5 linked regions of the Callithrix jacchus genome follow. The protein of the gene in region 3 interacts with the protein of the main gene of each other region in a biochemical or structural test. Links are inferred from orthologs where the notes say so. Each region holds a gene or a part of one and is shown on either strand. Other genes may lie near its edges.

The links. The genes of interacting proteins can lie anywhere in the genome.
Region 1: the proteins of ITCH (region 3) and NDFIP1 form a complex in vitro, tested with the Homo sapiens proteins (2 studies listed by BioGRID). The link is inferred for Callithrix jacchus from reciprocal best matches to the Homo sapiens genes ITCH and NDFIP1.
Region 2: the proteins of ITCH (region 3) and JUNB form a complex in vitro, tested with the Homo sapiens proteins (2 studies listed by BioGRID, with this or other methods). The link is inferred for Callithrix jacchus from reciprocal best matches to the Homo sapiens genes ITCH and JUNB.
Region 4: the proteins of ITCH (region 3) and MLANA form a complex in vitro, tested with the Homo sapiens proteins (2 studies listed by BioGRID and IntAct, with this or other methods). The link is inferred for Callithrix jacchus from reciprocal best matches to the Homo sapiens genes ITCH and MLANA.
Region 5: the proteins of ITCH (region 3) and NUMB form a complex in vitro, tested with the Homo sapiens proteins (3 studies listed by BioGRID). The link is inferred for Callithrix jacchus from reciprocal best matches to the Homo sapiens genes ITCH and NUMB.

What each region holds. Positions count from the first base shown.
Region 1 is NC_133503.1:40,544,701-40,550,037, reverse strand, and holds the start of NDFIP1 (NEDD4 family-interacting protein 1), read right to left. Parts: upstream 3,442-5,337; 5' UTR 3,264-3,441; coding exon 3,201-3,263; intron 1-3,200. UniProt on the Homo sapiens protein: Activates HECT domain-containing E3 ubiquitin-protein ligases, including NEDD4 and ITCH, and consequently modulates the stability of their targets. As a result, controls many cellular processes.
Region 2 is NC_133523.1:11,614,271-11,619,130, forward strand, and holds JUNB (transcription factor JunB), read left to right. Parts: upstream 1-1,883; 5' UTR 1,884-2,174; coding exon 2,175-3,218; 3' UTR 3,219-3,719; downstream 3,720-4,860. UniProt on the Homo sapiens protein: Transcription factor involved in regulating gene activity following the primary growth factor response. Binds to the DNA sequence 5'-TGA[GC]TCA-3'.
Region 3 is NC_133506.1:4,854,245-4,858,905, reverse strand, and holds part of ITCH (E3 ubiquitin-protein ligase Itchy homolog), read left to right. Parts: intron 1-1,307; coding exon 1,308-1,465; intron 1,466-2,806; coding exon 2,807-3,002; intron 3,003-4,661. UniProt on the Homo sapiens protein: Acts as an Acts as an E3 ubiquitin-protein ligase which accepts ubiquitin from an E2 ubiquitin-conjugating enzyme in the form of a thioester and then directly transfers the ubiquitin to targeted substrates.
Region 4 is NC_133502.1:112,376,058-112,381,494, forward strand, and holds the start of MLANA (melanoma antigen recognized by T-cells 1), read left to right. Parts: upstream 1-1,996; 5' UTR 1,997-2,044; exon of another isoform or gene 2,045-2,506; intron 2,507-3,537; 5' UTR 3,538-3,562; coding exon 3,563-3,639; intron 3,640-5,437. UniProt on the Homo sapiens protein: Involved in melanosome biogenesis by ensuring the stability of GPR143. Plays a vital role in the expression, stability, trafficking, and processing of melanocyte protein PMEL, which is critical to the formation of stage II melanosomes.
Region 5 is NC_133509.1:108,453,083-108,458,476, forward strand, and holds the start of NUMB (protein numb homolog), read right to left. Parts: upstream 3,442-5,394; 5' UTR 3,202-3,441; intron 1-3,201. UniProt on the Homo sapiens protein: Regulates clathrin-mediated receptor endocytosis. Plays a role in the process of neurogenesis.

The DNA.
Region 1 (5,337 bases), on a different chromosome or scaffold from region 3:
TTTTTTTCTTGGACACAGCGTTACCCAAGCTGGAGTACAGCAGTGCAATCTTGGCTCACTGCAACCTCTGCCTCCTGGGTTCAAGTGATTTTCCTGCCTCAGCCTCCCAAGTAGCTGGGATTACAAGTGGGTGCCACCAGGTCCCACTAATTTTTTTTTTTTTTTGAGACGGAGTCCCCCTCCGTCACCTAGCCTAGAGTGCAGTGGCACAATCTCAGCTCACTGCAACCTCTGCCTCCTGAGTTCAAGCAATTCTCCTGCCTCAGCCTCCTGAGTAGCTGGGATTACAGGCAACTGCTACCATGTCCAGCTAATTTTTGTATTTTTAGCAGAGATGGGGTTCTGCTATGTTGGCCAGGCTGGTCTCAAATTCCTGACCTCAGGTGATCCGCCTGCCTTGGCCTCCCAAAATGCTGGGATTATAGGTGTGAGCCACTTCACCTAGCTGAGCCTAGCCTTTCTGCATAGTTTGTTACTATGCTAAATTCAAGTTGTCCACATATTGCACTACCAATAAAAAGACCGTAAAGACAAAACTGTGTTTGCATTTATGAATGAATCATACAGTTTTCCATTACATTTACTTAGTGAGAAAACTAGCTCAATTTGATTAACTAGATCAAATAGAAGTCAGAACAACCCTGTGTGACAACCAAAGAGTATCATGCTCCAATCAAGTTGCCTGGACAATTCACCATCATTCTATAATTCAATAGCCTTTTAAATATGTATATTCTCGGACCAGGCATTTCTGTGTCTAGTAATTTATACTAAGAAAACGGTTGAAGACGTATGTAAAATAAATTTCCGTGAATGAAAAAAACTATAAACATTCTTAGTGACCAAAGATAGGTTACTTAAATTAAGCCATACAATTACATGCCATGTAGACATTAAAAATATTTTATATAGAAGACATTAACATTGTGTAAAGCACATTATAAAATAGAAATATGAACCCATTTATTTATCTAGTGTGCTTTTGTATATACATGTACACAATACACACGTATGCAAATGTACGAATGCACACGCCTGAGAATAAGATACACAGGGACATGTGCAAAAGTACGTGCCAGTATGATCAGGGGCTTATGAAACTACACACGCATGTACAAAGATATGTCTGTATATGCATTATGGGTACATAAGAGAATATACACCCATGTGTATATAACTGCTAATGCATACACCTATATTTGGACTGTGAGCCTGTGTTTTAAGTAGGTGAGTGTGTGTATATCCTTGTAATCAGTACTTAGCAGCTTGTGACCTCGAGCAAGTTACTGAACCACTTTGAGTCTTTGACAATGAGAACAAACCCTAGTTCATAAGGGTTTTGTATGGATTAAATGAAAAAATGGATGTAAATTAATTAGTACTGTGACTGTTGCATAAAAAAATCAGTATTAGCTTTCCTTCAATCCTTATCTTTACACATGTATACTGATCTAGAACTATGTATATTTACATAGCGATAAACCCACAAGAATGTACATTAAAATATTACCTTTGGTTATCTATTTGGTTTTTGTTTAGGGAGGGTTTTGCAGTTTTTTTGGCTTTCACCTTTTATAATTTTTCTCAGAAAATTTTTTTCATTTTTTTGACACTTCAATTCTGCATAATTTAAAAACATTAAATGCCACACTAAGGAATACATGATTTTGATACTCCCGCAAATTTTCTGTATTCTAGCTGTATATCAGCATTACCTAATAGCTCAAGAAGATGGCAGTACAAAGAAAAACCACAGCTCTTTTGCTTGTTAGCCTTATCCAAGTCAGGATGAAAAGGATGAAATCAGATCTCAGTATACAGTAGGGGTGATTTGCAAACACGGGTGGTTTGTAAACACTGTGGTGACAGTTAAGTGACATCTGTTATTCCCATTTTGTTAAAGCAGTAAGGAACCCACAGGCTGCCCAAGGTCATACAAAAAAAGCATGTGCTAGATCCATGTGCTCTGAAGAGACCTAAGGATTAACTGCATTGTCACAATTTGGGATGTGTTTATGAAACCAAGAAGCTAAATTCTGAACTAGTCATTTGGAAGTCCAAGCCTGAGCGGGGGCGGATTGCAACACATGGCTGATGATAGCAAAACAAACCCGGCTGCACCAGGGTTAATCTACGTTTTAATCTTACTGGCTTTCCTTATTTCTAAAATATAAAATAGTAGATAGTCTAAAATAGAGCATTTTATTTCATAAAAGCAGGATTGACATCTGTATGCGCCGAAAGCATTTGAAACATGACAAACACAAGCCGTTATTTGCGGTTCCAATCAACATCAGTTTACCACCTGGCTCAATTCCCACAATTATAATGTTTGTTACATTAATAAGACTTCTAAAAGCCATGCAGAAGGTCTCTAAATTTCCTGGGGGAACTAAGCTACAGAAGGAGAGTGAAACAAGCAGCTCTTTTTCCCTGGGGCCTCAATTTATAAATCAGACCGGAGAAAATGATCCAATTATTCCCTATACATTTCCTCCCCAGCTATGCCATCAAATATCTTAAAACGTCATTTCCAAGCATTTAAAATACACCCGGCACACGCCCTGCTACAGACTTGACTGTAGCTCTCCCTTTTGGGGCATCACCAAAGCCAAACGTCGCCTCTTACAAATCTACTGCAAACTGCGGGCTTGTCTCTCGCTTCATTTTTTGACTTTTGTCTTAAAACGGAGGCGAGGGGGATGGGTTTCGACAAACTAGGCTCCGAAACCCTGAGCAATAGCATCTCGCTGTGGGGAGCTATCAGCAGCAGCAGAGATTTTAATCTTTTCTCTCCACCCAGTTTCCGTTTTATGCTTTTTTTCTTTCTTTCTTTTTTTCCAATGACATCAAACCAAAGGTGGAAACATGAAAAACGAATGCCTCAGATCGATGCCGCCTTTGGGTCGCAGGTTCTGACTCAAGGACCCGCCCGCCCTGGGAAATGCGGGAAACTAGGCCGAGAGGAAGGCTTTCCACCACCGGAGTCCCACCCGGGGTCGCGGTGGGGCAGGCCGGGCCCGCCGGGGCCGCGAATCCGAGCCCGGGGCCCAACTCGCCCGTCCCGGCCCAGCGCGGCCTGCCAAGCCCCGGTGTCGAGTTGGCCGCGGGCGGGCCAGACAGGCCTGAGGCGGCCAGCGGAAAGGGCAGAGCCGGGGACCGGAGTCCGGGACGGGGGGCGGGAGTCGGGCGCCGCTTACCTGCTGGTACCTGCTGCCACAGGCCGGCTCGACCGCCGCTAGCGCCGCCAACGCCAACGCCATGGCGCAGCGGGCAGCAGGGAAGGAGAGCGAGCGAGCGAGCTAACTGAAGGGGCGCGGCCGCTGAGGCCGGGATGGGGTCGCGCCTTTGGGTGGGTCTCGATGGCCGCCGCCGCTCCGGAGCAAGACGCTCTCCTCAGGCTGTAAGCGCCGCCGCCTCCGAGGCTCCGACGCTGCCCCTGGGGAGGAGGCGGGGACAACGACGGCGTCGCTGAGCCGCCGCCCCGCCCCCGACTCGCACCGCCCAGCCCGGCCGGGCCTAGCCCTGCGCCGCTGCCCTGCGGTGCCCCGACTCGGGTGTAGTTGCTCCAACAACGTGAGCCTCCGAGGCTCAAGTGTTGTATTCGAGTCCACTAAAAACTAACTACTAACAGGCCAGTCCAAAGAGAGGGCGACGCTGCTGATGACAGCTCGTGCCAAGCACTGAGCTTCACCTACGTGCCCTTATCCAGCTTTCAACACGACCTTCCTGACGCAGGGACCACAGCCCCATTCTCTGGGTGTTGGAACCAGAGAGGTTGACAATCCTCACAGCAGCGACCTGATCCCTGGTGTCTGGCCGCAGAATCGTGGTTCTTAGTCACTCCCTTCTTTTATCTGCCTTACTTATAAACCAGGGGTCAGCCAGCAACAGGGAGGGGGGCCAAATCTGGTCTGTCGCCGTGACTGTGAAAAGTATATGAAATTCAAGTTTCAGTGTCCATAAGTAAAGTTTTATTGGAACACAGCAGAACCCATTTGTTTAATATAGCCTGCAAACCCTAGAATACTTGCTATCTGACATTTTACATGAAAAGTTTGCTAACCCTAAATCCTTGAGAACTCCTTGGATCTCAAATCTTACTTAGGGTGGATGATTATAATAGCACCCTCATGTTTATACGGTCCGTTAGTATTTTAACAGTCTTATCTGAGGATACAGAAACCGTATTTTCTGAAAAGTTCCCTGAGCAGGTGACATGGAAGTCAACACTTGAAGGGTTTGGCCATGCTAAAAGCTTTCCGGGCCACAGAAACAGGTGCAAAGGTGGGTCCAAAGAGAGATTGCCTTGGGGAAGAACAGAAAAGAGGCTGGCGTTGCTGCCATATAGGAGATATAATTATCAGTGTTTCACAGATGAGGAAGTTACGCCCAAAGAAGTTAAATATCTCACCCAATGACACAGAGCGAAGAAGTTAAATATCTCACCCAATGACACTAAGGGGTGAAGGTGGAATGCAGCTCCATTAAGCCAGCTTTCTTAACCAGTCTTGCACAACTAGATTATAAGCTCTGTGAAGACAAGAGTATTTGTCTTTTAAGTCTTATTACATCCCAATCGCATCTAGCACAGTATAGCTACATAGCAGGCTTACAAGGTCTGTTTCTTTCACACCCAGCCATCTACAATTGCTTCTACCCATATGCCCTTCAGAGGAAAAAAAAAAATCTTCCATCTCTGAAGCTTGTTGCAGTTCACATTTCTTCTTCATTGTTTTTCCAAGTTGGCAGTGTAGAGGTTGTATTAATATGATTATTGTCTTAGCTTCTAATTTTGAAGTTTAGTTAACTATGTATTTTAAAAGAGGGTTGTGTTTTCGAACACACTGAGGTTTCTGCATATATGAGAAAATTATAATCAACAAAAACTCTAGATGTTTACCATCTTCACTTTGAGTTCTCTCTCAGTATCCAAACTCCTCCATATCTGTCACTATTTCCAAGTATTAGTCTCACATATTAACATGCTGGGAGAGTGAACAAATCCAGCAACATTCCAAGCTCTGAAGTCTATTTAGAGGCTCCTTACTCTGTCCCTCGGATGTTGTCTTCAATCCAGAAAAACAACCTTTAAATGTCATCAGGTAGAGTGAATCAAACATAATGTCCTGCCATCCAGTCTTGTATAAAGGGTGCAAAAATCTAATTTGAAAAATTTTTTAAAAATCTCAGCAGTGGAAAGTAGAAATCCAGACTTCTTTGTTCAGATCGTCTAAATTGACATGTAAGAAAGAATAAAAAAGAATTTGTCGGCTGGACACAATGGCTCACATCTGTAATCCCAGCATTTTGAGAGGCTGGGACTTGAGGATCACT
Region 2 (4,860 bases), on a different chromosome or scaffold from region 3:
AGGGAACCCCACCCGAGGGAGGAGGCAGCCGCCACTCCAGCCCGGCCAGGCGCCTGGGGCGCCTCAAGGCATCGACCCGCCCTCTCCGCGCCCCGTCCGGCCGGGGGCGAAGTCCGACCCAGGCCCCCGGGCAGGCGGGGACCTGCCGGGCTGGGCTGGGCCAGGCCCGGCCTGGCAGGACGCAGCCCCAGAGCGGCGGGGTGGGGCGGGGCCGGGCCAGGCGGCCGTGGGGGCCCCGGGGGCGGCGGTCGGGGCTGGTCCGGACTAGCCGTACCGGGGCCCAGGCGCGCCCTGGGACCTGGCAGATACCCGGGCTCCCCACTTCTGGCTCGGGGCCCCAGGACAGCATTGGTCCCACCTCTTCCTGTGCCCTAATATGGGCGGCGGGAGAGACTCCGGGGGCCACCCGGCCCTGAGTCCTGCCGGCGGACTCCCGCCTGTTGCCATGGCGACCAGGCCCAGCTCTTGGGCTGCGTTTCCCGCTGTCGGTCCAATGGAACAGTCCCCAAGCTGTCTGCCTCGGCGATCCCCAGCAGGCGCCGCGGGAGGAACCATTGCCTGGGGGGAGAGGATGGTAGCTGGAGGCTTCTGCTGCTGGGCCGGCTCCAAGCACCAGGGCCTCCGCGTGGGCTCGCACGCCCAGGTTCCTCTTCCGAGGCGCAGGATGCGGCGGGACCCAGGGCGGGGCGCAAGGTCCCGTAGGATCCGAGTGACGGAGACAGGGCCGGGCTCCTTCCCCCGGGGCTGTTGCCACACTTCCTGCCTCGGCGCTCTTTCCCCAGCCTGTTTCTAAGGAAGGGAGTGTGGGGTTGGGCGACCGCGCCCCAGCCGTCGGGCTGGGTCCAGGCGCCGACAGGGTGTCGGGCAAAGCCCAGGGTCAATAGGGGAAGAGTTTTAGGATGGGGGACAGGGAATGCAGATGCCTAAGGGGTCACCCACGAGGGGGAGCACCAGTCATGGAAGATCAGCAGTCCGGGTGCGTGGACCCCAAAGCCCCCTCCTCACGTCAACTGAGTACCCTCTTACTGTCTTCTCTGCTCCGAAGATGGATCCGGATCCTTCTATCTCTCCTTCATCCAGGCTTCGCGGATAACTCCAGTGGTCCCCAATCTCTGCTAGACGTCTACATCTTCTACCCCGCACATTTTACCTGCCTCAGTGTACAGCAGGACCCTTATTCGCTTTCTGCATATCTAGATTTCTCCTAATTCCTCTTTCCCACGTATGGGGAGCTCTCAGATCCTCCCATGGGCTTCGGGACCCCTACTCATTTCTTGCAATTTAATGGGTCATGCAGCCCACCACTGTCCCCTTTTGATCTCTCCTCTCCTCCATCCTGTGAAAATTCCAGTACTCCATCCCTCTGTGCTTGGGGCCCCCAGTCAATTCCTGTGTCAGGTCTCTCCTTACCCCTCCCGATTTACCGTTAGTAACCCTCATTTCTGCTTTTTGGGGTCTCCCAATGAATTGTCAGTCCTTCCACCCCTCTCGTACTCTGGGTACCTCAGGGTTTCTTCGAACACCCTGGGATCTCCACCCCATTTGCTCCGTACCAGGTCCTGGTATTTGTCCCAGTGGGCTGGAGGGAAATCATCCTCCTCCCTGAGCGCCCTCACTCATGTGTCCAGGCCCCTCAGCACCTCCTTCCACGCGGACCCCGGGGTCCTTTGAGCCCCTCCCCCTGCAGCCCCGCCGAGCCACCCGGCCCGTGGCCGCTGTTTACAAGGACACGCGCTTCCTGACAGTGACGCGAGCCGCCTCCTCCCCTTCCCCACGCTCGAGGAGGGGGGCGCGGGGGCCCGGCTCCGGCGACGGCCAATCAGAGCGCACTTCCGTGGCTGACTAGCTTCTGTATAAAGGCGTGTGGCTCAGGCTGAGCGGCTGGGACCTGGAGAGCGGCCGGACCAGCTTCGGAGCCAGCAGGGAGCCGGGAGCTGGGAGCTGGGGGAAACCACTCCAGGAAAGCTAGCGCGCCGAAGAGGGTGAGGGGGACTCGAGAAGCCTGACAGCTTTTGCGTACAGCTTCCGGCTGGCTGCTCCCCGCCCGCGCCAGCCCCGGAGAACGCGCGACCAGGTACCCAGTCCGGCCACCGCAGCGGAGAGCGCGGCGCTCGCTGCAGCGAGGCCCGGGGCGGCCCCGCAGGGACCTTCCCCCGACCGCCTGGGCCGCCCGGATGTGCACTAAAATGGAACAGCCCTTCTACCACGACGACTCATACACTCCTGCGGGATACGGCCGGGCCCCCGGTGGCCTCTCTATACACGACTACAAACTCCTGAAACCCGGCCTGGCGCTCAACCTGGCCGACCCCTACCGGAGTCTCAAAGCGCCTGGGGCTCGGGGATCCGGCCCAGAGGGCGGCGGTGGCGGCAGCTACTTTTCTGGTCAGGGCTCGGACACCGGCGCGTCTCTCAAGCTCGCCTCTTCGGAGCTGGAACGCCTGATCGTCCCCAACAGCAACGGCGTGATCACGACGACGCCTACACCCCCAGGACAGTACTTTTACCCTCGCGGGGGTGGCAGCGGTGGGGGTGCGGGGGGCGCAGGGGGAGGCGTCACCGAGGAGCAGGAGGGCTTCGCCGACGGCTTTGTCAAAGCCCTGGACGACCTGCACAAGATGAACCACGTGACACCCCCCAACGTGTCCCTGGGCGCTAGCGGGGGGCCCCCGGCTGGGCCCGGGGGCGTCTACGCCGGCCCGGAGCCACCTCCCGTTTACACCAACCTCAGCAGCTACTCCCCAGCCTCTGCGTCCTCAGGAGGCGCCGGGGCTGCTGTCGGGACTGGGAGCTCGTACCCGACGGCCACCATCAGCTACCTCCCACACGCGCCGCCCTTTGCCGGTGGCCACCCGGCGCAGCTGGGCTTGGGCCGCGGCGCCTCCACTTTCAAGGAGGAACCGCAGACCGTGCCGGAGGCGCGCAGCCGGGACGCCACGCCGCCGGTGTCCCCCATCAACATGGAAGACCAAGAGCGCATCAAAGTGGAGCGCAAGCGGCTGCGGAACCGGCTGGCGGCCACCAAGTGCCGGAAGCGGAAGCTGGAGCGCATCGCGCGCCTGGAGGACAAGGTGAAGACGCTCAAGGCCGAGAACGCGGGGCTGTCGAGTACCGCCGGCCTCCTCCGGGAGCAGGTGGCCCAGCTCAAACAAAAGGTCATGACCCACGTCAGCAACGGCTGTCAGCTGCTGCTTGGGGTCAAGGGACACGCCTTCTGAGCGCCCCTGCCCCCTTACGGACACCCCCTCGCTGGACGGCTGGGCGCAAGCCTCCCACTGGGGTCTAGGGGGCAGGCGGTGGGCACCTACCCTGGGACCTGGGAGCGCCGCTAACCACACTGGACTCCGGCCCTCCCGCCCTGTGCCCAGTCCTTCCACCTCGACGTTTACAAGCCCCCCCGGTTCCACTTTTTTTTGTATGTTTTTTCTGCTGGAAACAGACTCGATTCATATTGAATATAATATATTTGTGTATTTAACAGGGAGGGGAGAAGGGGGCGATCGCGGCGGAGCTGGCCCCGCCGTCCGGTACTCAAGCCCACGGGGACATTGGGAAGGGGACCCCCGCCCCCTGTCCTCCCCTCTCTGCACCGTACTGTGGAAAAGAAACACGCACTTAGTCTCTAAAGAGTTTATTTTAAGACGTGTTTGTGTTTGTGTGTGTGTTTGTTCTTTTTATTGAATCTATTTAAGTAAAAAAAAAAATTGGTTCTTTATTAATTTCTGTTGTCTTTTTTTCCAAGCTGGGAGGGCCGAGGGAAAAAAAAAGCAATGGTTTGCCCCAGCTCAGTGCTGTAAGTGGCTCGGTCCTGTGTGTGTTCCCCTCTTCAGCTCTGCGCAGGCATCTTGTGGCCCGCCCGGGAGTCCCACCCTATACGCGCCTCCTGATCTCCAGGGTTGGATGGTCGGGGCGCGGGGCGCGGGGCGCGGGACGCGATTTCGGAGCCCAGTAGCAAAAGGCAGGGAGCTCTGCGCGAGACGCGGAGTGCGCAGGCGCGGCCCCGCCCAGCCGCGCGCGCCGGGGCTTTCCCCGCTGACGCAGCGGAAGCGCTGCCCATATAAGGACCGATTCTGCCCAGTGACGCGACCGCGGTCTCTGGGCAGATTCCGGGAATCCCCTCCCCCGCTCTGCCGGGCAGGGCCGCGGCGCCGGGAAGGGGGCCGGGATTTTCCCGGGCAGGCGGCTGCCCGGGCACGGAAAGCCCCAGGCCTGGGTCCAGAGCGGCCGCGGTGGGCGGGCAGCGCTCCTGGGCTGCGGGAGCCACCCCTGTGCCACTCAAGACACTGGCGCCTGGGCCCCGCCGCGCCCACGCCCCCTCCGTCTGACCTGACCGGGGCGGAGGGTTGTTGCTGCCTAGGCTGCTTTGCCGACGTCGTCCCTTCTACCCCCACCCCCGCCAGGAAGGGCGGCGCCGGCCTGCCAGTTTCCCCTCCCGGGTGCCAGGCCAGGAGCGGGGCGACTGCCAGGTCTGGTCCTGCCGGGGCGGCTGCTCGGGCCGCTGGGCGCCGCCACCGCCCTTGCGCTGGGCTCCCTCCTGCGCAGCTGGGACACTTGGGGGTGGGGGTGGGGGTGCGGGTGCCGGTGCTGCTGGCATGCCTGGAGGGAGTCTGGCCGGCTTCGGAGCTGGAAGCCCCCAGAGCAGTGGAGAAAAACAGGTAGAGAACCAGACAGGCAGTAGGGTGTGTGGAACAGGCACTTCATCAATTCATTTATACAATGCCTAGAACAACTACACCCTGGAGACACAGCCTAGACCACTCCAGACAAGACAATAAACAAGGAAACATGATTCTTCGGAGGTGGTGGTAAGTGCTAGGAAGAGAGAGAGAGAGAAAAAAAAAAAAACCAGGTCAAGGTGGC
Region 3 (4,661 bases):
CATACCACTGCACTCCATCCTGGGCAATGGAGTGAGACTCTGTCTAAAAAAAAGATGACTATGTGAGGAGAGAGAGATGTTAATTAGTTTGACTGTAGTAAGTTTTTTCACTATGTATATCAAAATATCATCTATACAGTTTTTATTAAAAATAAATCATTGCCCTTGGACAACCCTTCAATCAATCTCTCGATGAACTTCAGGGGTTACATAGGATTCTATCCAAAGGCTCTTTATGTATTTAATAAGGCTGACCAAAAATTAAAAAGCTTTTTTTAAGCTCCTAAAATCTTAGAAGTTTTCATCCTCGTGCTGTTTTTTTTCTTAAATTCAAAGGGCATTTATTATTTTTCTCTCACTCCTTTGCTTAAGTGATCTTCCCACCTCATTCTCCCAAAGTGCTGCACTTGCAAGTGTGAGCTACAGCACTCAGCCTCTGTTAGTTGAATCTATTAGGTTTTATTTTGTTCAGGCTTATTCTGAAATTCCTAGTAGTATGGATTAGTACTGTGTAGTGGTTTGGAGGTAGTACATACAAGAACCTTGGCTGAGACATCTGCAGACTGGCTACTTATGTCCTTGTTTCTAATCCATGACTAGAACCCCTCTGGGAGGAAAAAGAATCAACTATATTTAGCCAACAGTAGCAGTAGCTTTCAGTCCGATATTTCCTGTTAGTGTTCTTCCTTCCTTTCTGTCCCTTCAGTTGATGTTATTGCTTTGAATAAATGACAGCTCCTTAAAAAAATGGTCTGTGGTTACTTCTACTCTATATCACTAGCTTTGAACATTTTGTGTACCATTGTACTGAGTGGGGATGTCAGGGCCTAGTCCCTGGGAAATACATGCACTTTGTTCTAGCATGGGAAAATCAGCCCTGCCTCAAACTTGAGTATTAATAAATAGCCAATAGAAACCAAAAAACAACAATGGTAAAGTTATCTGCGCTTGTGATAAAGTAGTGCCCTTTTTAAGGATTTTGAGAACTTGACTTTATTCCTGTTTATGTAGGGCTTCCTGAAGGCTTATTTGAAATACGAACCAGCATATCTAATAGTTCTGAACGGCTGCAAGTGTTTCTATGCCCTTGGACAACCCTTCACTCTATCTCTAGATGAACTTTGGGGGTTGTGTAGGATTCTACCCAGAGGCTCTTTATGTATTTAATAAGGCTGACCAAAATTTAAAAAGCTTTTTTTAAGCTCCTAAAATCTTAGAAGTTTTCATTCTCTTGCTGTTTTTTTCTTAAATTCAAAGGGTATTTATTATTTTTCTCTCCCCCTTCCTTTTCCCGTCTTCTTACCCAGAGTGAGCACAAATGGATCAGATGACCCTGAAGATGGAGGATCTGGTGAAAATAGGAGAGCCAATGGGAATAGTTCTCCATCACTCTCAAATGGCGGTTTTAAACCTTCTAGACCTCCAAGACCTTCACGACCACCACCACCTACCCCACGTAGACCAGGTTTGTATTCCAGCTGTCAGTACTCTAATAAATAATGTTCTGGTTGGCAGTTAATCCTCAGGTAAGTTTCAGGAAATTCTTTTCGGTGAGTTTTCTGTGTGTGTTTTTGCATTTAAGATTTTGGCAAAGAATGATCTTTCTGTAGTAACCAAAAGTGCCTTTTTCCTAAGTTTCGGGTCAGAGTGACATTACTGAGGCAGTGCTCTATTGAGAATGAAAATGACATGTGCATAATATAAAATATAGGCAATACAGATAACATTGCAATAGCATTTCTTACATGGTTTGTAACTGTAACATAAACATATTAAGTAAGTAGTCAAGGATTTGGTTGCTTAATCCGAGTATATTCTTTAAAAAGTTAGTAAATGACAAATAACCCAACAGTGCTAAATGATTCAGATTTTAAATAAAAAATGACACAACAAACAAGCCTTTTTTGTTTGTTTGATTGATTTTTGAGTCAGTTTCACTCTGTCACCCAGGCTGGAATGCAGTGGCACAGTGTCAGCTTACGCAACCTCCGTCTCCTAGGTTCAAGCAATTCTCCTGCCTCAGGTTCCCGAGTAGCTGGGATTACAGGCACCCATTGCCACACCTGGCTGATTTTGTATTTTTAGTAGAAACGGGGTTTCTCCATGTTGGTCAGGCTGGTCTCAAACTTCTGACCTTAGGTGATCTGCCCACCTTGGGCTCCCAAAGTGCTGGGATTAGAGGCATGAGCCACCATGCCTAGCCCCAAAGTACTGGAATTACAGGCATAAGCCACTGAGCCCAGCCTCCTCTTCCCCTTTTATAGGTAATTTGGTTAACAGTATGTTCTGAATCTTTAAGATGTCTTAGTTATAATATTGGTGACTTCCTATAGACATTGTTTTCACAAGTATTTCTTAAAGATGTAATACATGACTAGTAACTATTTGTAAGAAGATTATTGTTTATCAGTCAGACCTTCCACATTATAACCAACATCAAAAATTGGTCTGTAATCTGCAGGGATTCATAGGAAAGCAGTTTTAAGGAGCTGGAAAATTAATAAATGAACTTAAAATACCAAGGAATATTAATGCTTTTCTATACATTTTTATCTCCTCAGATAATATTCACATGCCTTGTAATTAATAATGGGATGTAGGGGTAGACAGGGCCGAAGAAGTAAACAAGCCTATTAAGAGGGAGTATTGATTATTTCTTATTATTTCTTTAAGTAATTTTCACCTGTGTATCCAAATCTTAAGTTTTATATTTATCATCTGCCTTTTTATTTTTTACAGTTAAAATTCTATCCTGAATTTTAGAAAATAAAAGGTTCTTTTCCTATTTTCTTCAAATCTTTTATAGCATCTGTCAATGGTTCACCATCTACCACTTCTGAAAGTGATGGGTCTAGTACAGGTTCTCTGCCAATGACAAATACAAATACAAATACAAATACATCTGAAGGAGCAACATCTGGATTAATAATTCCCCTTACTATATCTGGAGGCTCAGGCCCTAGGCCATTAAATCCTGTAACTCAAGCTCCCTTGCCACCCGGGTGAGTAACTTTAAACATACATTGTCTTTAGGCTTTTGGCTACTTCATATACTTACTAACAAGGAAAATAATAGTAAACTCCATTGTTTCAGTAACTGAGATGGAGTCTTGCTCTGTTTCCCAGGCTGGAGTGCAGCAGTGAGACCTTGGCTCACCGCAACCCCCGACCCCTGGGTTCAAGCAGTTCCCCTGCCTCAGCCTCTCTAATAGCTGGGATTATAGGCGTGGGCTATCATGCCTGGCTAATGTTTGTATTTTTAGTTGAGATGGGGTTTTACCATGTTGACCAGGCTGGTCTCAAACTCCTGACCTCAAGTGATCCTCCTACCGTAACCTCCAAAATTGCTGAGATTACAGGCATGACCCACTGCACCCAACCAACTGTTTTTATGTTATAACTGATTTGGGGGAATCTGGAGTCAAAATGAACAAGGAAAATACACCATATTTGAAACCCTGTCTTTTGTTTTCGGGGCAAAGTGGAAAAATATATTTTTTCACCAAAGGACCCTGAATGTTAACCAAGGCCAATTAATAAAATAATCACCTAATTCTAGTTGCTTTTTCTTTGAAGGGGAAAATCCCTTTTTAAAATCAAATTTTGTTTTCATCATAAAATCATTATAGGCTGGGCATGGTGGCTTATGCCTGTAATCTCAGCACTTCGGGAGGCTGAGGCAGGTGGATCACCTGAGGTCAGGAGTTTGAGACCAGCCTGGCCAACATGGTGAAACCCCATCTTTACTCAAAGTACTCTAATTAGCTGGGCATGGTGGTGGGCACCTGTAGTCCCAGCTACTCAGGAGAATTACTTGAACCTGGGAGGTGGAGGTTGCAGTGAGCTGAGATCACGCAATTGCACTTTAGCCTTTGTAACAGAGTAAATCATTATCGCAAAATGATAGATAATTCAGAAAACTGAGAAAATTTCTGCTCATAATCAATCCCATTTTAATCTCTACTGATTATTTTAAGATTATTTTTAAGATATTCAAGTGTAGTTTTTTGTTTTTTATTTTGCTTTTTTTGTTTGTTTGTTTGAAATGGAGTCTTGCTCTGTCGCCCAATCTGGAGCACAATGGTGGGATCTTGGCTCACTCCAACCTCCACCTCTCAGGTTCAAGTGATTCTCCTGCCTCACCATCCAGATTTGCTGGGATTACAGGCACCTGCCACCTATACCTGGCTAATTTTTCTTTTTTTTTTGAGATGGATTCTTGCCCTATTGTCCAGGCTAGAGTGCAATGGTGCAATCTTGGCTCACTGCAACCTCTGCCTCCCAGGTTACAGTGATTCTCCTGCCTCAGCCTCCTAAGTAGCTGGGACTACAGGTGCTTGCCACCATATCCAGCTAATTTTTGTATCTTTGATAGAGATGGGGTTTCACCATGTTTGCCAGGCTTGTCTTGAACTCCTGACAAGTGATGTGCCTGCCTTGGTCTCCCAAAGTGCTGGGATTACAAGCATGAGCCATTGCGCCTGGCCGTTCCTTTCCAGTCAAATCCTGACTGTACTCTGATTGAGAGTGATTTTGGTTTACTATGTAGACCGACCTTAAGCCTCTTTAGAAACATGTTTTCTCCTAGAGCAGATACTTGCATAGAAGAAATTGAATTCATTGTGTGCCACCCTCTGATGTTTACATTTCTTCCCTTTATT
Region 4 (5,437 bases), on a different chromosome or scaffold from region 3:
GCGTGAGTCACCGCGCCCGGCCTAGAATGCATTCTTAAATAAATGTGGTTATGTTTTACATCATTGTGATGGGCATTTCTCACTTTATGTTTTTTTGCTAATGACTTATTACTTGCTATTTATTTTGTGTTTATTTTAGACTATAGAAATGATGTTAGACAAAAAGCAAATTCGAGCAATTTTCTTATTCGAGTTCAAAATGGATCATAAAGCAGCAGAGACAACTTACAATATTAACAATACATTTTGCCCAGGAACTGCTAATGAATGTACAGTGCAGTTGTGGTTCAAGAAGTTTTGCAAAGGAGACAAGAGCCTTGAAGATGAGGAGTGTAGTGACCGGCCATTGGAAGTTGACAACTACCAATTGAGAGCAATTGTCAAAGCTTAGCCTTTTTTAACTATGAGCAGTTGTGTAACAATTCAAGGATGATCATTCTACAGTTGTTCAGCATTTGAAGCAAATTGGGAAGGTGAAAAAGTTCACTTAGTGAGTGCTTCGCAAGCTAAGCAAAAATTTTAAAAATAGTCTTTTTGAAGTGTTGTCTTCTCTTACTCTACACAACAACAACAAACCATTTCTCAAGTGATTTGCAATGTGCAATGAAAAGTAGATTTTATATGACAACTGGTTGGACCAAAAAGAAGCTCCAAAGCACTTCCCACAGCCAAACTTGCACCACAAAAAGGTCACGGTCACTGTTTGGTGGTCTGCTGCCAGTCTGATCCACTACAGCTTTCTGAATCCTGGTGACACCATTACATCTAAGAAGTATGCTCATCAAATCAATGCGTTGCACTGAAAAGTGCAACCTGCAGCCAGCATTGGTCAACAGAAAAAGCTCAGTTCTCCATGACAACACCCAACCGCAGGTCACACAACCAACGCTGCAAAAGTTGAACGAATTGGGCTACAAATTTTGCCTCATCCACCATATTCACCTGACCTCTTATCAACCAACTATGACTTCTTCAAGCATCTCAACAACTTTTTGCAGGGAAAACACTTCCACAACCAGATGCAGAAAATGAATACAAAGTTTCATGAATTTGTATGCTACAGGAGTAAGCAAACTTATTTCTCGTTGGCAAAAAAGTCTTGATTTTTAATAGTTTCTATTTTGATTAATAAAGATGTGCTTGAACCTAGTTATAATAATTTAAAAATTCAACATCTGAAACTGCAATTACTTTTGCATCAACCTAATAGATGTCTAAGTAGGTCATATTTCACCTGCAAAGAGAAAATTTCGTCTATCCCTTGCAGATGCATGGAAACCCACTATCTCCAGTGGACAGTTAACTCCAAGGGCATCATAGAGAACTCATGGAGCTCAGCTGAGGAGGTTTCAGGGATTCTCTATTTCCCTGAGAGTCTGGAACAAGATGATCTCCAGATCTGCACCTAAAGACTCTTCAACCTTTTGAGATGGAGATGAGGGAGGGAATAGGGAACCCAGTTAAGTCTGGATTTCAGATCCTTTTGTATTTCATAAGTGTGATGATTGGGGTTTCATATTTATGTGTGAGATGTGCCTCCCTCACACCTTGTTACAATGACATTGGCGCATTACCCATCTGACATGAGAAAAACAAATGTAGATTTCAGATAAACAAAACATAACTTTTTTAGTGTATGTCCTATAGAATATGTGGATATAAAATATTCTGTGGAATATAGTTGTATTAAAAACCTGTTCATGGTTTAATCTGAAGTTCAAATTTAACTGGGCATTCCATATTTTATGTGATGTGGCGATCTTATGGAGGACGGACCAACACTGAAAATAAATGACTTCACTTGGTTAGGGCATGGGGACTGGGGAAAACAGAGGCCACAGTCAGCTGTGACTTTTTTATGGAAGGAAGTTGGTTTCTTTCATGCCAATTAAGCAATTACAGACGACCCTGTCAGAAATCTAAACCCGTGACTATCATGAGACTCAAGACCAGAAAAAAAAAATAAGTAAAAAAGAGTAAGAGCCAGAGAAGCAGTCTTCACACACGGCCAGCTGGCGGACGGAGGACTCTCTCATTAAGGAAGGTAAGAGCGTTGCCTTCTCACCATAATCATAGTCCTCTTCTCCCGGAATAGGATTTGGGAAATTCTGGCAAAGTCCTCTGCTTATCCTCATTGCCCTGCTGATGTGTGACGTCAACGGAATTTCTCCTCAATGTTTGTCAGTCTCCATCTTCAGAGGGTTCACAAAGTCTCCTCCTGGGTCCTCTCTCAGTCCTCCAAGACTGCCAAGAAGAAAAGCAATTATTCAGGATGGCACTTGCTGGGGAGAAGCCACCTCCCTAAGGTAGATGTGTTCTCCTGTCACTTAAAGAACCACTTCTCCTGATCTGAGTGGTAAGAGGCGCATTTGCTGTTGCTGCACCATCTGCCAAGGTCTGAGCTTGAGGTATAGGATGTATGAAAACAATTGAATGCAGAATTGAATGTCCATTCTGTCATTTTGAACACAGAGTTCACTCCTATATTATTCACTTCAGAGGATTGGTGAGTTTGACTTTAATTTTGTTTTTACAACTGGGAAGGGTAAATTACATGTAAAACGTCCCAGTGGAAAGTGGTCATGTGGTGAAATCCCCACTCTTCTCTCCCACCTCTCCCTGTTGTTTTAAACTGGAGCTCATTAATATAATTCTATGGGGACCAGATCTTCAAAATTCATGAGAACAGTAAAAGAGCTGACAAATACACAACAAGGAGAGAAGCTTCCATTATTAGTTTTTAATGAACATACTTGACTTACAGCCACTGCAGTTTATGGACATCTTTTGTTATTATTCATTTGTATTTGTTATAGTTAAAAAAAAAGTCCTAGCCAAGGGACTTGAACCAGAGAGAAGCAGAAATTGATTTAGGTGGCAGGGGAAACACACTGTCAGATAAAGTCAGGTCCTGGGCTTCCTTAGCTTGTTTTGTGTGGAGTGCCTAGGACGAGCTGAAGCCCTTGTGTGGGGTGGTTTCCTTTGCTGAAAAACTGGGCTGGAAGATGCTGTGCTCAGTGCTCAACCTCATGCACCCTTGCGAGGCACAGGCAGTGGGCGCTCTGGGAAGCATACGTTGTGTATCATAGCCTCTGCCCAGGGATTGAAGTCTAATAACAACTTTGGAGAAAAATAACTCCTCTTAACTTCTTAGCCACAGCCCTGGACCAGGGAAGGTAGAGAATCAGTAAAAATGCTTTTTGTTTGGTTCTCTAGAAGTTTATGGTGCAGAGTCAAATCAATGGCAATGAGGAGCAGTTTTTCACCAAATAATAACTCAACTTGAAAGCCTTTTTGCTTTTGTCTGTAGTTTCTTCTTCGAGCTTAATTTTTAGTTAGTAGGAGGGGTTAGAAAGCTGAGCTGTTGCTAAAGCCCTTGATATCAATGAAAGAAGCAGGTGCAAATCCCGTCACAGGTCAAAGAATCCTGGCTATGGATATTGGTCACCTAGTTAGGATGCTGTTGTGGGTCTTTATGAGATGATGAATAGGGTGGCTTCGGATGCCTTAATGATGCCCACGTGCTCCTTCTGTTAGGTGTCCTGTGCCCTGACCCTACAAGATGCCAAGAGAAGACACTCCCTTCGTCTCTGATTATCCCAGGAAGAGGCATGGCCACTCTTACATCACAGCTGAAGAGTAAGTTCAAAACCAGACCCAGCAGGGCTTCCAGTCTGCCGTTTGCTGACACAGCCTGCTGACTTCCACTAGCACATGCCTGCTCATGAATCTCCCTAGTGTTGACAGCCCCAGACAGAAACATCCCTGGCAACAAGGGGAAGAGACTCTGTGCTTCTACAAGGGGCTAAATCAAGCTTCTCTAAGGCCAAACAGACAGGAAGATGGGAATGGTATAAGGTTAGATCTTGCTATTTGGGCTGCACTTTTGACTCTTGGGCCTTATCTATAGGTTCCCAAAAGGAAAAACATCCGTTCAGGATCACAATGCCTCTTTCCTCAATCCTTGTTCTGTCAACGCCACTCAAGCTCCTGAAGGTTGTTTGCAGACAGAATAAAAGTGAGTTGCCAAGGAGCCAGTGAGGATGATGGGCAAGTGTGTGTGACTCAGCCTGAAGCCAGACTCGAGAGGAAGGCAGAGGTCACAGCCTTTGCAGCATAACTTTATCCTAAGGAAAGGCGTTGGGTATTATGAGTGAATTAAAAATAAGTATTTATATGATTAAGCATTTCTAAATGATAAGCATTGTATACTGGTCTGAGACACTGTTTTTATCTTTGAAGAAACTCAAAACCTAGCGGGAGAGTTAGGCATGAGAATAATTTCAGCAAATGTAAGTGCAGTAATGGGAACCCAGAAGCTGCAGGGATACATGCTGTACATGCTGGGAGGGAAAGGGTGTGGGGGGAGGGGGAGCAGCAGAGGCCCCACCCTCTGCGTGGGACTCCAACAGGACACAATCTTCTTATGTGTTCTGTGCAGAACTCCCTGCAAACCTGCTCATTCTTTGGAAAGAGCTGTTGAACAATCCTTGTTAATAGCCGCAGAGGCCAGCAAGATGTAGGGCCCGACAAAGGCACTGAAGAAGAACTCAGGCAGAGAGCATTTCTTCCGAAGATCTCGGTATAGGACCCTCTAATATCCCTGGCTAATTGGAGATGAAGCCGGCGGTATCTTCTAAGAAAATGTCCCGAGAGCAAAAATATACTCTTTAAGGGAGGGGAGCCCATTGCCCGTGGTATTAATTAGGGTATTGTTTCAGCTTCTGTATGATCACTCAACAAATTCTTCTTTAGAATATACTTTTATGTCTTGTGTAATAATTCAAGAGTAAAGAGTTCAAGGCCTGTTCATTTTCTTCTTGCTGGTTATTCCCCCGGGGTGTCGCTTTTGTCCCTATGGCTGAAGATGTTGTGCCATCACCTCCACATCTTGCCAAGGAAAGGGGAGGTGAAGGAGAAGCTAGGACCATTCCTTTCAAGGGACACACGTCACCTCTGCTTACTGACCCACCCTCTGCCCCCTGCCCCATGGCACTCACCCTGGTGGGTATCATTCTTGATGTTTTGTAAATGGGGAAAGATTTGGAGAAATTAGAAATGTGTGGCTATGGTGGCGCTGGGATTTAAATCCGGGTCTGTTTGCCTCCAGAGTCCATGCTCTTAAGTATTATGCTGCAGGCTGGCGGAGGCAAATATTTGCACAATTCCATCTGACGAGAGGCTAGGGCAGAGGTCAGTATCTCTTGGTGTGAACCTGGAGGCTGCAGCTTGTCAGCTCGGTAGGCTGAAAGCAGAGTTGTTCTTTGCCATGCAGGGCCATCACACCCAGCTGGGCCCAGGTATACCCACAACCCGAACAAGGTAACTTTCAGGGTCTAGCCAGGAAGAAACCAAACTTGCAAGCTGAACCACGTGCATAAGCAAGGGCAGGTGGATTATCTGACATTTTCCTTGAGAACACGAGGGAGCCTCTGGG
Region 5 (5,394 bases), on a different chromosome or scaffold from region 3:
CTCTGTTTTACATGCACACAAAGAGTTTCCTGGAAACATGGCTACACTCCAAGGATTTCAGAGGGTAGAATTCTTCTAGAACTACCGTGTTCCAATCACTTGGAACCTCATGAGAAAGCAGACTTAAAGTCAGATTCTAGAATCTAATATGTTCCTAAAGCTCTGGCTCTGCCATTTACAACTGTGTGAAACATTGATTTATCACCCTAAAGCTTCATTTTCTTCATCTATAAAATGAGATATGGATTAGAGATCTTTTCTTGCATAACAAATTATCCCAAAACTTAGTAGCTTTAAACAACATTTATCATCTCACAGTTTCTGTGAGTCAACCCTCTGACTTTGGGTCTCTTATAAAACCACAGTCCTCTCAAGCTCAATTGGGACAGATCTGCTTCCTGCCTCATTCACCTGGTTATTGTTGGCAGGACTCACTTCCTAAGGCCTTAGTTTCCCAGGAGCTGCTGGCCAGAAGCCTCCCTCAGTGCCCTGCCTCATGGGCCTCTTCGCAGAGCATCTCACATTGTAGCAGCTTACTTCAACAGTGCAAGCAAGCTAGAGCAAGAGAGAAGACCCACCAAAGAGAGTACTAGCAAGACAGAAGGCCCAGTCTTTTGTAATCCAATCACAGATGTGACATCCCATCACTTTTGACACATCCTGAGTTAGAAGTAAGTCATTAGGTCCAGCCCACACTCAGTAAGTCATTAGGATTACACAAGGATGTAATCCTTAGAGCCTGCACAGTTGGCAGCTACTTGGGAGGCTGAGGTAGGAGGCTCACTTGAGGCCAGGGGTTCGAGGCCAGCTTGGGCAACATAGTGAGCCTCCTCCATCTCCTTTTTTTTTTTTTCCTGAGACGGAGTTTTGCTGTTGTTACCCAGACTGGAGTGCAATGGCACGATCTTGGCTCACCGCAACCTCCGCCTCCTGGGTTCAAGCAATTCTCCTGCCTCAGCCTCCCAAGTAGCTGGGACTACAGGTGCACACCACCATGCCCAGCTAATTTTTTGTATTTTTAGTAGAGACGGGATTTCACCTTGTTGACCAGGATGGTCTCGATCTCTTGATCTCGTGATCAACCCCCCGAGGTCAAGAGTTCAAGACCAGTCTGGTCAACAGGGTAAAACCCTGTCTCTACTAAAAAGAAAATACAAAAATTATCTGGGTATGATGGCACATGCCTGTCATCCCAGCTACTGAGAAGGCTGAGGCAGGAGAGTTGCTTGAACCCAGGAGGCGGAGGTTGCAGTGAGCCAAGATCGCACCATTGCACTCCATCCTGGGCGAAGAAGCAAGACTCTGTCTTAACAACAACAACAAAAGAAATATATGTGTGTATATTTTTAAATATACAAAAATCAAATTAGAGAATATGTTTGATTCAGGGCCCGTATATGTTATGCCATATAAAACTGTTATAGATAATAACTATTATTACCATTAATATTATTATTGAGTATATAATGGCTGGTTTTCTCCCCTAGCTCCTAGAAGGAACGCTTCTATGAGGAGTAAATGAAATAATATACATAATTCAGGACCTGACATGAAGTAAATGCTCAATAATCATTAGTTATTATTAACATTATTAATAAATGTGTGATATTTGATATTCTTTCCAAGCTACTGGAAGAAAATACTATGAACTCTCGTAACTTTTCCAGGATGACCTTATATATTTTGTTCAACTTTTCTCATTAGCATCCTATAATTGCCAGAGCACAACTCTAAATTTGAGTTTCATAAAATATGACCACCAAAGCCATGACACAGTCTAATTTCCTGTCTGCCCTATACCAAGAAGTACCCTTGTCCAAAACCAGTAAAACGGGCTAATTATGGCAGCACCTCCTATATGCAGAAAACTCAGAGCCTGGCCCCATCCAGAATCCAGAGAGGAGGGATTGTGCCTGGGAGAATGAGCAGAGACTTGGCTATGTAACCTTTGTCCCTTTCAAAATATGCTCGTCATTGTGCAATCTTCTGAGTCAATCCTCCACTAAGAATGAGAGAAAGAGGGACCAATAAGGCCCTACAGATGGGCCTTAAAACGTCCAAAAAGACGTTTTCACACCTGGGTTGAAAGTAATATGAACCAATAAAAATAAAGAGCAATTTTGCAATTAGAAAGTTGGAAGAAGAGAGTCCAGTTTGCAACATGAAAGAAAGAGCACTAAGAGGCTGGAGTCATCACTTCAGGGCTGGGTTGAAGCTGTCTTCCTTATAAAGGTGGAGGATTTTGAGGGTTGGCCTGTGGCCAGGGAAAATGAGGAACTATAATCAAGAAAACCCCATTATTTTGGCTTTGAGTCATTTCTCAGGGCTCACCCATAATTATTACATAAGAAAGATAGAAAAAACAAAAACCAGGCCGGGCGTGGTGGCTCAAGCCTGTAATCCCAGCACTTTGGGAGGCCGAGGCGAGTGGATCACGAGATCAAGAGATCGAGACCATCCTGGTCAACATGGTGAAATCCCGTCTCTACTAAAAATAAAAAAATTTGCTGCACATGGTGGTGCGTGCCTGTAATCCCAGCTACTCAGGAGGCTGAGGCAGGAGAATTGCCTGAACCTAGGAAGCGGAGGTTGCATTGAGCCGAGATCACACCATTGCACTCCAGCCTGGGTAAAAAGAGCAAAACTCCGTCTCAAAAAAAAAAAAGAAAAGAAAAAGAAAAAAAAAACCTACTAAAGTGTAAATGATCCTTAAACCAAAGACACTGTAGAAATACAAAGATCCAGACCAGACACAATGGCTCATGCCTATAATTCCAGCACTTTGGGAGGCCGAGGCAGGCAGATCACCTGAGGTTAGAGTTCGAGACCAGGCTGACCAACATGGAGAAACCCTGTCTCTACTAAAAATACAAAATTAGCTGGGCATGGTGGCACATGCCTGTAATCCCAGCTACTTGGGGTGGGGGTGGGGGGGGCGGGAGTGCTGAGGCAGGAGAATCGCTTGAACCTGGGAGGCAGAGGTTGCAGTGAGCCAAGATCACACCATTGCACTCCAGCCTAGACAACAAGAGCAAAACTCTATCTCAAAAAAAAAAAAGAAGAAGAAGAAAAAGAAAGAGATACAACGATCCAAGTCTTTGCAACTTATCTGTCTTTCTCTGTCTCTGTTTCTTCTTCTCCCTCCCATATTTGCACATGTTCTTTCGTTTCTTTTTCCATGCAGAAGAAAACTATCCTTACAAGGAAATGCCTGAAGATCCTTTAGGCTGGAACTGTTTTCAGATCAGGAATCATCTCTAGCAGTCTCCACTGCCTGCCTCTCTTGGACTCCTGTGGACAGGATTAGAGTTCAACATTCACAGATAATAACAGTTTACACCTCTGCCTCTAAATCAAGTCACTACCGCTGTGATTTAAAGAGGCCGCCGACTGATTTTCTGAGCTGCACTAGCCCTGGCCCTGTCTTCTCCTGAAATGTCCCAAACATTACCGGATTTGTACACAGAAAGCCTCAAAGCAGAAGTTGCTGGGAAAATTCTGTAAACATGAAGAGGAGAAGTGCACCAATATCAAGTTCCTCTTCCTGTGGCTCTGGTTTTCTCTCCTTCCTATTCTGTGTTTCCTCTGTGTCTGGGACAGAGGATACTTGGTTTCCATACCTCTTAATAGTCAGAGAAAACCTTGTTCTGCCCCTTGGCAGGTTAGTTTTTGAAGGGAAAGACAGGGTAAAGAGATGAGGACTTGCCCCCAGGAAGTCTGCCTGTACAATAGGAATGATGTATTTATTTATTCAGCCCTTTCCTCCACTGCAGCCAGAGCAGCAGCCATTTCATTTCGCCCTCAGGAAGTGTATTTAGTGGTAACCTTTCTTTCTTTTCCTGTTAGTTTCCTGCAAAAGGACATCAGTGTCCTCCTCATTGGAGCAGCTGATAAGGATGTTGTTGCTCAAATAGAGACAGAAAAACTTATTTCCTGTCGCAGACCTAGGCCATCCCAAGGTCATGGAGAATTAGACCAGGCTGCAGAAATAACGGAAGAACCTGATTTTCATGCCTATTTCCCTGGTGCGGTCTTCCTCCCTGAAATACTCTGCAATAATTACACCTTCCACTTAAGTAGGATTTTACACTTTTCCAAAGTAGCATCACGTTGTACAGAAGCAGCGTTGCTGCATTGTAGTTGGCATAGCCTATTAGTTACTTTGGAGGGTTTATATGAAGAGCAACTTTGGGTTTAACTTTACGTCTTGGGGAATTCATACAAATGGCATAGGTTACCCTAAGGTGGATTCCATTTGCTAGCTCCTGCCCATCCTACAGATCTTATCTTCAAAGTTACTATTGCGGGGGAGGCTTCCTGGTACCCCTCTCCCAGCCACATTGGGTTGGGTGGCCTTCTTATACACACTGCACTTCCACTTTGGAATACACATATCCCATGGGTAAACCTGCTCAGTGCATATCCATCCAGCAACATGTTGGCACTGTAATACCAGGGACAACAACCTTCCTGCTCAGGGCCTGGCCCACAGTAGTTCACTAAATATTTAGTGAATGAATGAGTAAGTCAGGAATTGTCTCTAGGAGCAGCCTTGCCACCTGACACAATCATTTATTTTGGGGTGGTGCTCTAGAAGTTATAAAAAAGACATGCTAATTATCACATAATGATCACCGGTGGTTACAGTAATTAGAGCACAGTGGTGAAGTATGACTAAATAAAGCTCTCCACCAGGTGGGGGGCTATCCCTGCACTCTGAATTTGGAATCCCACTGCCCATCTCTCTTGGACTCCTGTGGACAGGGTCATTCCTTTGGAAAATTCTATTTGGAGTTGCCAACATCGGGGAACAGGGAGAATTAAGCTCCATTTCCCCAAACTCAGTGAAATCTTTCTGATATGAAAATTAAATTAAAGAACAAGGTCATTGGTGGCCCTCTGCTTCTTTCCTTTCAGCCTCTGAGACATTTCCCCATCAAGGGTCTATGCTGAGTCATCCCTCCTTCAGCAAAAACAAGTCAGCAACACCCTGAGGATGGGTGATGGAGGTAAAGACTCATCCTGCTAATCTTCTCCTCCCACGGAGGCCAAGGTTCGTGGTCTTCGCCCCCTCCCTGGGAACAAGAAAGCAACCCAAAAGAAAAGCCTCTTCCTTCCCACTCCTCTCTCTCTTACAAGCTCATGGTCTGTGGTTTCCTCTTTCTTCTGCCAATGGAAGTCAAGGATAGAGATAGGGGAGGAGGAAGAAGAAACAAAAGGGCATAGAACTGTACTTTGCTGACTGAGGGGAGGTGGAACACGTGGGTGAGGGGTATGAATTGGGATGAAGAACGACAAGACATGAAGAATCCTTCGGGGTTCTCCAACAATTCTCACATCCAGGACAGTTAACGCACAGCTCAGGTGCAGGGACACCAGGGAGCCCAGAAATGT